Caenorhabditis elegans: one gene and its partner. The protein of the gene in region 2 interacts with the protein of the main gene of each other region in a pairwise test. Each region holds a gene or a part of one and is shown on either strand. Other genes may lie near its edges.

The links. Proteins that work in one complex are often made in the same cells at the same time.
Region 1: the proteins of Y34D9A.7 (region 2) and rbm-7 interact in a two-hybrid assay, tested with the Caenorhabditis elegans proteins (one large-scale study listed by BioGRID).

The regions. Positions count from the first base shown.
Region 1 is NC_003281.10:12,927,793-12,933,560, forward strand, and holds rbm-7 (RRM domain-containing protein), read right to left. Parts: upstream 4,076-5,768; 5' UTR 4,070-4,075; coding exon 3,890-4,069; intron 3,845-3,889; coding exon 3,636-3,844; exon of another isoform or gene 3,596-3,635; coding exon of another isoform or gene 3,390-3,595; intron 3,346-3,389; coding exon of another isoform or gene 3,300-3,345; intron 2,154-3,299; coding exon of another isoform or gene 2,100-2,153; exon of another isoform or gene 2,081-2,099; intron 1,926-2,080; coding exon 1,789-1,925; intron 888-1,788; coding exon 682-887; 3' UTR 578-681; downstream 1-577. Other genes in the region: Y37D8A.19 (uncharacterized protein), read left to right, coding at 2,100-2,153, 3,300-3,345, 3,390-3,595.
Region 2 is NC_003279.8:1,039,702-1,044,692, reverse strand, and holds the start of Y34D9A.7 (PSP proline-rich domain-containing protein), read right to left. Parts: upstream 3,222-4,991; 5' UTR 3,210-3,221; coding exon 3,003-3,209; intron 1,338-3,002; coding exon 768-1,337; intron 1-767. Other genes in the region: Y34D9A.3 (THO complex subunit 2), read right to left, coding at 3,930-3,995, 4,047-4,579, 4,812-4,991.

The DNA.
Region 1 (5,768 bases), on a different chromosome or scaffold from region 2:
CCAAATTCTAGTGTGTAGATCCTTATTGTTATTTCGTTTTTTTTTCCTTCTTCAAATTGTTTACTTTTAATGAAATAATAAAGGTGGACCTCTCACCTGATTGGTCGGAAAGTGGGCGAAGCAATTCGCTGGTTGGTCGGCCAAAATTTAGCCAAAATTGAAAAAAAGGTGTTTTTTTTCTGTGGAATTTCTGAATTTTTAGGATTTTCCAAAAAAAATCCGAATTTTTTGATTTTTTAACAATTTTCAAAAAAAAACTGCTTTTTAGGCCCCGCCCACTTCTTGGAGATAGGTTATTTTGGAAAATAAATTCCAAAAAAAACACTGAAAATTTCCGAATGCCCAAGAAGTGGGCGGAGCCTAAAAATAAATTTTTTTGGATTTTTTTATTTTTCAAAAAAAAACGGCTTATTAGGCCCCGCCCACTTCCTGGAGATATCTGTTTTTCTGGAAAGGAAAAAAATTCCAAAAAAATCACTTGAAATTTCCGGATATCCAGGAAGTGGGCGGAGCCTAAAAATAAATTTTTTTGAAAATTTCCAGTAGATCTTTGTTGTTGCATTTTTCTCTATATTTTCAAATTGTGTTTGCTTTTATTAAATATATAAAATGAGACCAAAAAACATGGCAAAACAAGTGAAAAAGATCAAAATAATTATGATTTCCCGCCCGAATCATCGATCAATAACGTTCACGTCTTCTGTCATCATTGCGATGATGCCGGCTCGAGCTTCGGTCATATCCATGACGATCGTGATGACGGTGTGGCGTGGAATTCTGATGACGTCCATTGTACGGAGGAGCGGATCTATTAATTTGTTGCTGCATCATTTGATTTACAAAATGTTGATGAGGAAGCATTTGCGGAGTCGAATATTGTGGAGGACCTGGAAAATATTGATTTTTCGATTTTTTTTCCGACATTCTTGCGTTTTTCGGCTGAATTGGTTACTTTTTTCAGCGAACTTTTTTCAGCTTTTTCAATTTTATTCAATTTTTTTTAGTTATTTTAGGTACATTAAGCTTGTTCTCATGAAATTTAGGTCTAAAAATCTAGAACTTTTCAGAAACTTCTGCAAAAAAAATCGATTTTTTGGAAAAATTAACGAATTTTTCCGACATTTCTGCGTTTTTCTGCAGAAAATTTATTGGTTTTCATTGAATTTTTCTCTAATATTTGATTTTAGGAATGATTTTTCAGACTTTTTGCCGCAAAAAAAGTCCCTGAAACTCTCTAAAATTGGCCACTTTTGAGCTTCAGCAATTTTTTTTTGCGGAAAAATGTCTGAAAATTGGACAAACGATGCTCTTTTTTTCGTCTGGTGTAATTTTTTTTCCCAATTTTTGAGTTATTTTAGGCCTAATTAGGTAAATTGAGCCTGCTTTTATGCAATTTAGGGCTAAAAATCTCCAATTTTTCAGATTTTTGAACAAAAAAAAATTTTTTCTAATTAAGATTTTTTCACCGATTTCTCACTTATATTGAGGGGGTTTCGGAAAAATTATAGATTTGTTCTTCTAAAATTCCTCAAAAATTGGCTCAATTTTTTAAAAATCAAATTTTCCGGCTAATTTCCGCAAAAACCTTGCAAATTATCGATTTTTAGGGTTTCAGCATGTTTTTTTGCGGAAAAAAGGTTGAAATTTTGAATTTTTTGCAAAAAAAAATTTTTAAAAAAAAGATTTTTTTTCCATTTTTCAGTTATTTTGAGCCCGTTCTCATGTATTTCAGGCCTAAAAATCTCCAATTTTTCAGAAATTTCAACTAAAAATCGATTTTTTTGCTACCTCTTTCCCCTCCGCTTCTCCAATGTCCTCCGGATCCTCCCATCAGTGGAGGTGGCGGTGGAGGTGGAAGAGGATCATATTGTCGATGATGACGAGGAGGCTGCTGCTGCTGCCATGAGTCACGGTTGTTTCCGTTTCTGGAAAAGACAAAAAAAAAATGATTTTTCGGCCTTTTTTTGTTGATTTTCAACGTTTTTCTTCGATTTCTGAGATTTTTAATCAAAAAAAAAATGTTGTGAGACAGAAACCAAGCCAACGCCGGGTATAAAATAAAGCCGAATTTGATCTTTTTATCATCGTCTGAGTTAGAGATGAAGCTTCTTATCGTATTTTTCGCTGTAATTTCTGTGGCTGCGGGGCAGAGCGTGAGTTTTTTATAATGTTTTTTATAATTAAAGGTGGTGTTACACCACTGGTGTAGTAGAATTTTTTTTAAAAATTGCCTTATTAGGCTCAAAATTGTCTGAAAACACCGAATTTCATAATGAAACTTCTTGAAAACTTTTCAGAAAAAAGTTATGACGGCTCAAAAAATGGCCTAAAATTAGATGAAATCGGAAATTTGACCGACTTGTCAATGTCGCAGCGGCTGGAAATATTTTTTTTTTGAAATCACCGTTAAATTTTGAGTCTACGAGTTGATATTTTGCGTTTTAAACTTGATTAACAAGGAAAGTCGAAAAATTTAATGTCTGACTTTGGCATGACATAGTATTTTTTTCGATAAAAGAGTGAAAATAATGATGCCTCCAAAAAATTTAGCTGCCCGGTCCAGGTTCGGCAAAGTTATGACGTTTTGAAAGTGACTGGAACACCTTTTTACAAAATTTCAAAATTTTCAAAAAAAAAAAAAATTTTCTAAAAAGAGGAAAAAACTGTTTTAACTTATCCAAAAATGAGAAAAACATTTATCATACACGTTTTTTCTCACCACAGACCAAAAAGCACATTGCTTGATCTACATAACTTGAGGAAAATTCCAAAAAGTACATTTTTTTGCAGATTTAATTTGTGGGTTTTCTTGAGAGGTATAACCTAAAACTTGCATAGCATATGTTTTTCATTGTTTTGAATAATTTACACACATTTGCTCCTCTTTTTAGAAATTTTTTTTTGTTGAAAATTTTGAAATTTTGTAAAAAGGTGTTTTAGTCACTTCCAAAACGTCATAACTTTGCTGAACCTGAACCGGGCAGCTAAATTTTTTGGAGGCATCATTATTTTTACTCTTTTATCGAAAAATACTATGTCATGCCAAAGTCAGACATTAAATTTTTCGACTTTCCTTGTTAATCAAGTTTAAAACGCAAAATATCAACTTGTAGACTCAAAATTTAACGGTGATTTCAAAAAAATATATTTCCAGCCGCTGCGACATTGACAAGTCGATCAAATTTCCGATTTTAACGAATTTTAGGCCATTTTTTGAGCCGTCATAATTTTTTTTGGAAAAGTTTTCAAGAAGTTTCATTATAAAATTCAAAAAAAAAATCAATTTTGTTTCTTTTCAGATCATCTGGAACAATAACAATGCTAACAGATTCCCAAGTTGCTTTGGTACGATTTTTAACGCTAAAAAATCAATAAAATTCAATTTCCAGCCTGCTCCACTGCCGCCGGCTTCGTCGCCAACATTGACGGCCAGTCTACAAATGCTCGGTGCACTGACGCTGCTTCAAATCCAGCCGAACGATGCCCAGGATGTTGTGCATCCGTTGCTCTTGCCGCCGGGCTCTCCGCAGATCGCGCCTCCGGATTCCCGTCGACAAACGGAAGAAGCTGTGTTTGCTGCGTCAGATCGTGCTAATTGAGCCTTAAAATCCTTGAATTAATCCAATAAACTCTACCTATTCCTGTTCCGATCATCTCTATAGCTATCCCGTCTTCCGTCTCGATCCGGTGCCGCTACCGATCGAACTCTTTCCTCGATTTCTCCTTTTTTTCGCTTATATAATTCCTCCTGATTTGTGCCATTTCGCGGCTTTACTTGTAGTTCTTGATTGAAAAGTCGCACTCCATTCATCAATTCAATGGCGAATAGTACAGATAATTCGTCCTGAAATTTATTTTTTTTTTTAAATTTTTCAGCGAAATTGCTTACCTCAAACTCCACCAATGCGAATTTTGCATTAGAATCCCTCACATCTCTCAGAATAACTTTTACAACGGGGCCGGCTTGAATAAAAAGCTCTTCGAGCAATTCTTCATCGACTTCTTCTGAAAAATTGGCCACGTATATTGTGCGCTCTTCTGGAGGCGATGGCGTTGGTTTTATTTCCATTTTTTGCTGAAAATTCAAATTTAAATTCGAAATTTCGAAAAAAAGGCTGAAAATTCACTCATGTGAGAGAAAAAGCGAGAAAAACGAGAAAAACCAAATAAATCCCATTCCCATTCCCGGATGGCGCAAACATGTCCTCGCTGACGCGTTTCTCGATTTTGCTGGCGCATATCTCGTGCATAGAGAAAAGCCAGCACGGCACTAGAAAAGTAGAACCTAGCCGACAAAAACTGGTTGTTTTAGCAAATTTACTTAACCTTTTTCCGTTTTTTGTGAAAATTAATTGTTTCCAAAGTATATTTCAGGTACTTTTACTAGTTTTTTCCGTGTGTCGAGTGGAGAAGAGGCTCGCAGAGCTCTACAGTTCGATTTAAAGCAAAAATTAATATTTCTCCATGGAGCGAGCGGTGTATTTATTTTTAAAATTTTTATACAGCTAAACCGCTCAATTCCTGAGAATTAGCTTTGTTTGAAACCAAACTTAAATTGACTTAAAAATCCATATTTCTACCTCAAAAAATAAATCGAATCCGTCTCAAGAGCCCTTTAGCCACCCTTTAGCCCCCTTCTTCCTCAGAAAAATGTCCGCTTTTTTTTAATTCAAAAGAAAAAAGGTTATTTCTTCCTCATTTTTCTCCTGTATGACGAATTTACCTGCTTTTCAGATCGTCAGAGCGCCCAAATGAGTCATTATTTATTTGTTTTACTAACTATTTCATAGCAGTTTCAAAAAAACTAGAAAGTTCTTTTCAGGTTCAGGCTATGAGGAACAATATTTTTCTAGATTGATAAATAAATATTTCTCCGTTGTTCCGCAATTTTTATCGAGAAAAAACAAGATCAGGCGCCCCCTCGTGGGGTTTTTTTTCTGAAAAGTGCAATTTCCTGCCTCTCTTTTGCTAGACGATTCATTAAAAACCCACAAATGATGATGATAAGACATCAAATTTTGATTTCTTTGGCATTTTTTACAAAGATTTTTGATTTTTTTTAAACGCTAATCGTAATTTCGTACTTTATTTAGTGTGTTTAAACCATAAATTGTTAGAAATCTTGTCTCAAACACATATGTGCTCATGAGCATGCTCACAAATACTTTTTGATGACAAAAACAATTATTTTCACTGATAACATGTAATAAAACATAAAATGAACATAAAACATGATTTTTAATGCAAAAAACCCCTTTTTTCGAAGAATTTTGATTAAATTTGATATTCCACTACTTTTCCCCAGCTCTTTCACTTTCCGCCTTTTCTGGGTCTCCCCCGTCGTCTCCCATATCTCTTCTTCCCCGTTCGTTCTCCCATTTTCTTGGCTAATTGCCAAGAAATTGGAACAACGCCACATCTGTCTCGCGCGCCACTGCAACTTTTTCCTCACGAGGGACGAGGAAAAGTGGTTTCTAGGCCATGGCCGAGGGGCCGACAAGTTTCAGCGGCCATTTATCTTGCTTTGTTTTCCGCCTGTTTTCTTTTGTTTTTCATCGATTTTTTTCGTTTTTTCTTATTAAAACTGATAAATAAATACTTTTTGCAGATGCTAAAACAATTTCCAAGTAAAAAATTATGTATTCAGTGGGCAAGCAGCGGTGAAAGTGGCCAATAATCATATTACAATGCCCACTTTCACCGCTGCTTGCCCACTGAATACATGATTTTTTTACTTGGAAATTGTTTTAGCGTCTGCAAAAAGTATT
Region 2 (4,991 bases):
GAAAAAGAGATAAAAAAATTCAAGAAAAATGCAAATTGTTCATTAAAAATCACTGAAAATGAGTAAAACTGTAAAATTATGAGTTCCGGCGGCATATTTTACAGTTTTACCCATTTTCAGTGATTTTCAATTTTTTAATAAATTGGATTCATTTTTTTGAAAATAAATTTTTTAGAATTTTTCAATAATTTTTTAAAAGTTAATCTAAATTTTTTTTTTAACTAAATTCCATTTTTCCTCAACTTTAGGCTATTTTTCTAGTTTGTTTTTTCGCTTTTCACAAAAAAAAAAATAGAAATTTCGGTTTTTTTTTTAATTTTGTATTTTGAAAATAAAAAAGAGAATTGAGGATTTTAAACAATTCTAAATTTTAAACAATTAAATATTTTAAACAATTAAATATTTTTTATTTCAATATCTGGAAATTTCAGAATTTTCAAAATAATTAGAAAACTTCGAAAATTATGAAAATTCTATTTTTTTCATTTTTTCGGTAGAAATTAGTTTTTTTTTAAATAAGATTTTTGATTTTTTTTAAATAATAACATATTTCATAAAAACTCTTATTTTTCGTTTTTTTTTTCGGTTTAAAAAATAATTAGAAAAGTTTGAAAATTGTGAAAATTCGATTTTATTTAATTTTTTAAAAATTAAATTAATTTAAAAAAATCAATTTTTCAGAATTTCAAAAGAAGAATTAAATTCCATTTTTCGTGTCAATTCTAGCCGAATTTTCCTAAAAACTCCTCCATTTCTTCAGCGCTTACCGTCTGCAACATTTCACAAAAAATATCAAACGGCGGTACTTCAAATCGTCCCCGTTCACGATCTCTCAGTGCTCCATACGTTTTATTGAATCCCATATAGAAATGCACTTTTTCCGACTGAATTGTCGGTGCCGGACGGGCTTCTTCATCATCATCATTATCCACCTCCTCCTGATTATGATCTTCCGAGTAGATTTTCAACGTCGCAAATTCCCGTTTCAACGATTTTCTCAAATAACCCGGTGGGTATCCCCGATAGAATCCCAATCTTCTCATCCTATAAACCCATTCTGGAATATCATCCGGTCCAAGGCTCAGCGCTTTTCGTAGATTCTGGCTCAGTCTTCCCGGCTTAAACTTGGCTTCCTGCTGCTGCTCGGTGACCTGAGAAATCCGTCCAGTTGGTTGGTGCTGCTGCTGCTTGTCATTCATGAATTCGAGCTTGTTCTTCCGGATTTCCGCGAAATTCTTGGGCTCCGGGCATTGAGCTATAGAGTGATCGCCGCCGCGGCAGTTGAAGCAACAATTTGTACGGCGACGCTTTTTTTCCGATTCTTCGGGCTCGTCGCACTGCAAAAAAAAATTTTTTTTTGGGACTTTTTCGCTAAAAACTTTCTTTTTTGATTTCCAAACAAATAATATTTGTTGCGGGAAAAAACGGAAAAAAAAGTATTTAAAAATCTTGAATTTTGTTTTTTTTTTCAGATTTTTCACAAAACGGAAAAAAAAAGTTTATAAAAACTTTAAAGATGGTGTAGTCGAATTTTTTTATTGCTTAATTAGACTCAAAATTGTCTGAAAACACCGAATTTCATAATGAAACTTCTTGAAAACTTCTCAAAAAAAAAGTTATGACGGCTCAAAAAATGGCCTAAAATTAGTTAAAATCGGAAATTTAACCGACTTGTCAAGCGGCTGGAAACTAATTTTTTTTTAAATCACCGTCAAATTTTGGGTATACAATTTTAATTATCTTGCGTTTTCAACTTCATTTAGGTATTTTAAAGTCGATTTTTAAATTGTTTTAAACCAACTCACGCCGGAGGCACCACGTTTTCAAGATCTGTTCAAAAACATAGTTTTCAGACATCTGGCACTGTGCCAACTGCAGTTTTCTCCATGAAAAACGAAACAACGATGCTCCGAACATTTCAAAAAATATCTTTCTGAACGCTAAACAACACGCGACGCGTAACATCGGAGCATCGTTGTTTCGGTTTTCACGGAGAAAACTGCAGTTGGCACGGTGCCAGATCCTGAAAACCTTGTTTTCGAACAGATCTTGAAAACGTGGTGCCTCCGGCGAGATTTGGTTAAAAAATTTAAAAATCTACTTTAAAATACTTAAATCGAGTTGAAAACCCAAGATAAGTACATTGTATACTCAAAATTTGACAGTGATTTCAAAAAAAAAAAAAAGTTTCCAGCCGCTCGACAAGTCGGTCAAATTTCAAATTTTAACTAATTTTAGGCCATTTTTCGAGCCGCCATAACTTTTTTTTTGAGAAGTTTTCAAGTAGTTTCATTATGAAATTTGGTTTTTTTCAGACAATTTTGAGTCTAATGAAGCAATAAAAACATTTTTTTTCGTAAAAAACGGATTAAATTTTTGAAAAAAAAAACGAAAAATTGAAGATTTTTAAAACTTTTTTTCGTTTTATTTTTTTTAACGGAAAAAAAAGTTTTTCAAAGTTTTGAAATTGAAATTTTTGTGACTAAATTATTGAAGAAAGCATATTTTTATCACAAAATTATTTATTTAAAAAAAACCAAAAATTCTAGATTTTTTTTTTTTTTTTCGGTTTTTTTGAATTTTTTTATTGAAAAAAAAACGAAAATTCGAAAATTTTCAATGCTTTTTTCGTTTTTTTTTCCAAAATTTACGAGAGAAAAATTAAAAAAAAAATTTAAAAATTTAAAGTTTCAGTTTTTTAAACCAATTTTTCACAACTTTAAAAAACCGAAAAAAATTCGAAAAATCTTGAATTTTTCGATTTTTGTAATTTTTCTCAGAAAAAAGATTCAAGGTTTGCCGGCGGCGCCAATACCTAACGAGACCCAAATTTTGTGACCGCCGGAGCGTTTTTGACTGTCATTGGAGGGCGTTTGCACCTTAATTCCCACAAAAATCGACTTTTTTCGACGTTTTTCATAGAAAATTCACATTTTTCTCCAATTTTTTGGGAAAATCCCCCTGATTTTTCTTCAATTTTCTCCACAATTTTCAATTAGTACCTGTTCCCCAAACATTCTTTTCCGCATATTTTTCGCCCAATTACTACTAGTTTTAACTTCCGCATCATCATCAGCTGATGGTGTTTCCCTCTCCAAATCCTCATTCGGAATGATTCCCGAGCAATTTTTATCGATTATAAAGTCATCTAATCCATCCATAAGTGCCGCCGAATTGGGTGAAAGTGATATTTCTCCATCTTCAGACATTTTTTTACTACTGGAATATTGAAACGGAAATTAGTTTTTAAAAAATTTGAAAATTCGCGGAAACTCTGAAAATGCTAATGGAATTTTTCCAAAAAACCAACAAAAAACAATATAAATTAACAAGAAAAACCTAGAACCTCTCCGAAAAAACGCAGAAATTTTATTTTTCCAAAAATTAATGTGGAAAACGTCAAATTTTAAGAATTCGGTGAAAAAATAGGCGATATCAAAAGAAATTTGCGGGAATTTAACGAAAATCGCCGATTTTTCAAGTTTGTTTTGTGAAATCTGATAAATTCCGACATTTTTCGCACTTTAATACCGAAAAAAAAATTGGAAAAATCGCGAAAAAACATTAAAAACTAGCTACAGTAATCTTAAAGGCGCACACTTAAAATTTTAAATCCTAGATTTTCGTTGCGAGACCTGTGGGTCCATTTAAATCGTTTTTTGTCATTTTTTATCGATTTTTGTTCAATTTTCACTCCGATTTGCGAGTTTTCAGTGAAAATTTCACAAAAAAATCCAGAACCTGTCCGACAAAAAAAATTTTTCGAATAAAAAAAAATATTTCAGAGCCAAAAATTGTTACTCTTTTCAATAAAAACAAAAAAATAATTTAAAAATGTTATTTTTTCAACAAAAAAAAATTCCAAAATAATCGATAAAGCCCGTCCATCGTGTAGTTTTGACCAGCTTTTTACCCAAAATTCTCTTCATTTATAGCTCCAAAGAGCCCTCCAACTGCACAAATTCCTTCTTGCCGCGTAGTTTTGTGAGAAGAATCTGCAAAAAATCGATTTTTTGTGAATTTTATTAAAAAAAACCTAATTTTACCTCATTTTTATTGATTTTTCTCATTAAAACAGCGAATAAGCCCGCTTCCCGCCGCGTCAAGTTCAAAATCGTCAGGATTTTTGCGGAAAGAAACAGGAAATTCCATTGCTCTGTCATCATCGCAAATCCGTCGACAGCTCGCTCACAAACTTCCCGAAAAAGTTGAAAATTGACGGGTTCCACCGAATTTTTCACATATTTATCAACAATAATATTCACAATTTGACAAAATGGGGTCTTGCCACGATCTCCGAAGGCTTGAAGTTGCGGCGCCAGCTTTTCCAACAAAATCGAGCAAATTTCGACGATTCGTTCGTCGTTTTTGGCGATTTTCGTGTCGAAAATCTCCGAAATTTGTGTGATAATCGTGTCGGGATTGGGTTTCAAGAATGAAATGTCTGGCAAGTGGCGAAAATTGGATTTTATTCGGATTTTTTCGCAAATTTCCTCAATAATTTCCATTGGAGACGTGCATGTCGAGTTGGGAATCGTTTTTGAGAGAAATTGACGAAATAAGTCGTTGAATTGGGCTTCTGAAAAAAAAATTTTTTTTAAAAGATATTTTTCGCGTTTTTACACCGGAAAAACTGAAAAAATCGCGAAAAATCAATAAAAATTAGCTACAGTAATCTTAAAGCCGCACAACTAAATTCTCAAATCCTAGATTTTCGTTGCGATACCCGCGGGTCTATTTAAATCTATTTTTGCAATTTTTTTTAACGATTTTTTTATCGTTTTTTGCCTAAAATCGTCGTTTTTACCCACCATTTCCGTCGTAAAACGCAGAAAATCCCAAAATTAACGTAGAAAACAGCAAATTTGAAGAATTCGGTGGCAAAATCGAAAAATCGGCAATTTCCAACAAAATTTGCGGGAATTTAATGAAAATCGCGGTTTTTTCCTCGATTTTTCCAGATTTTTGCATCATTTTTTGTGAAATTTGTT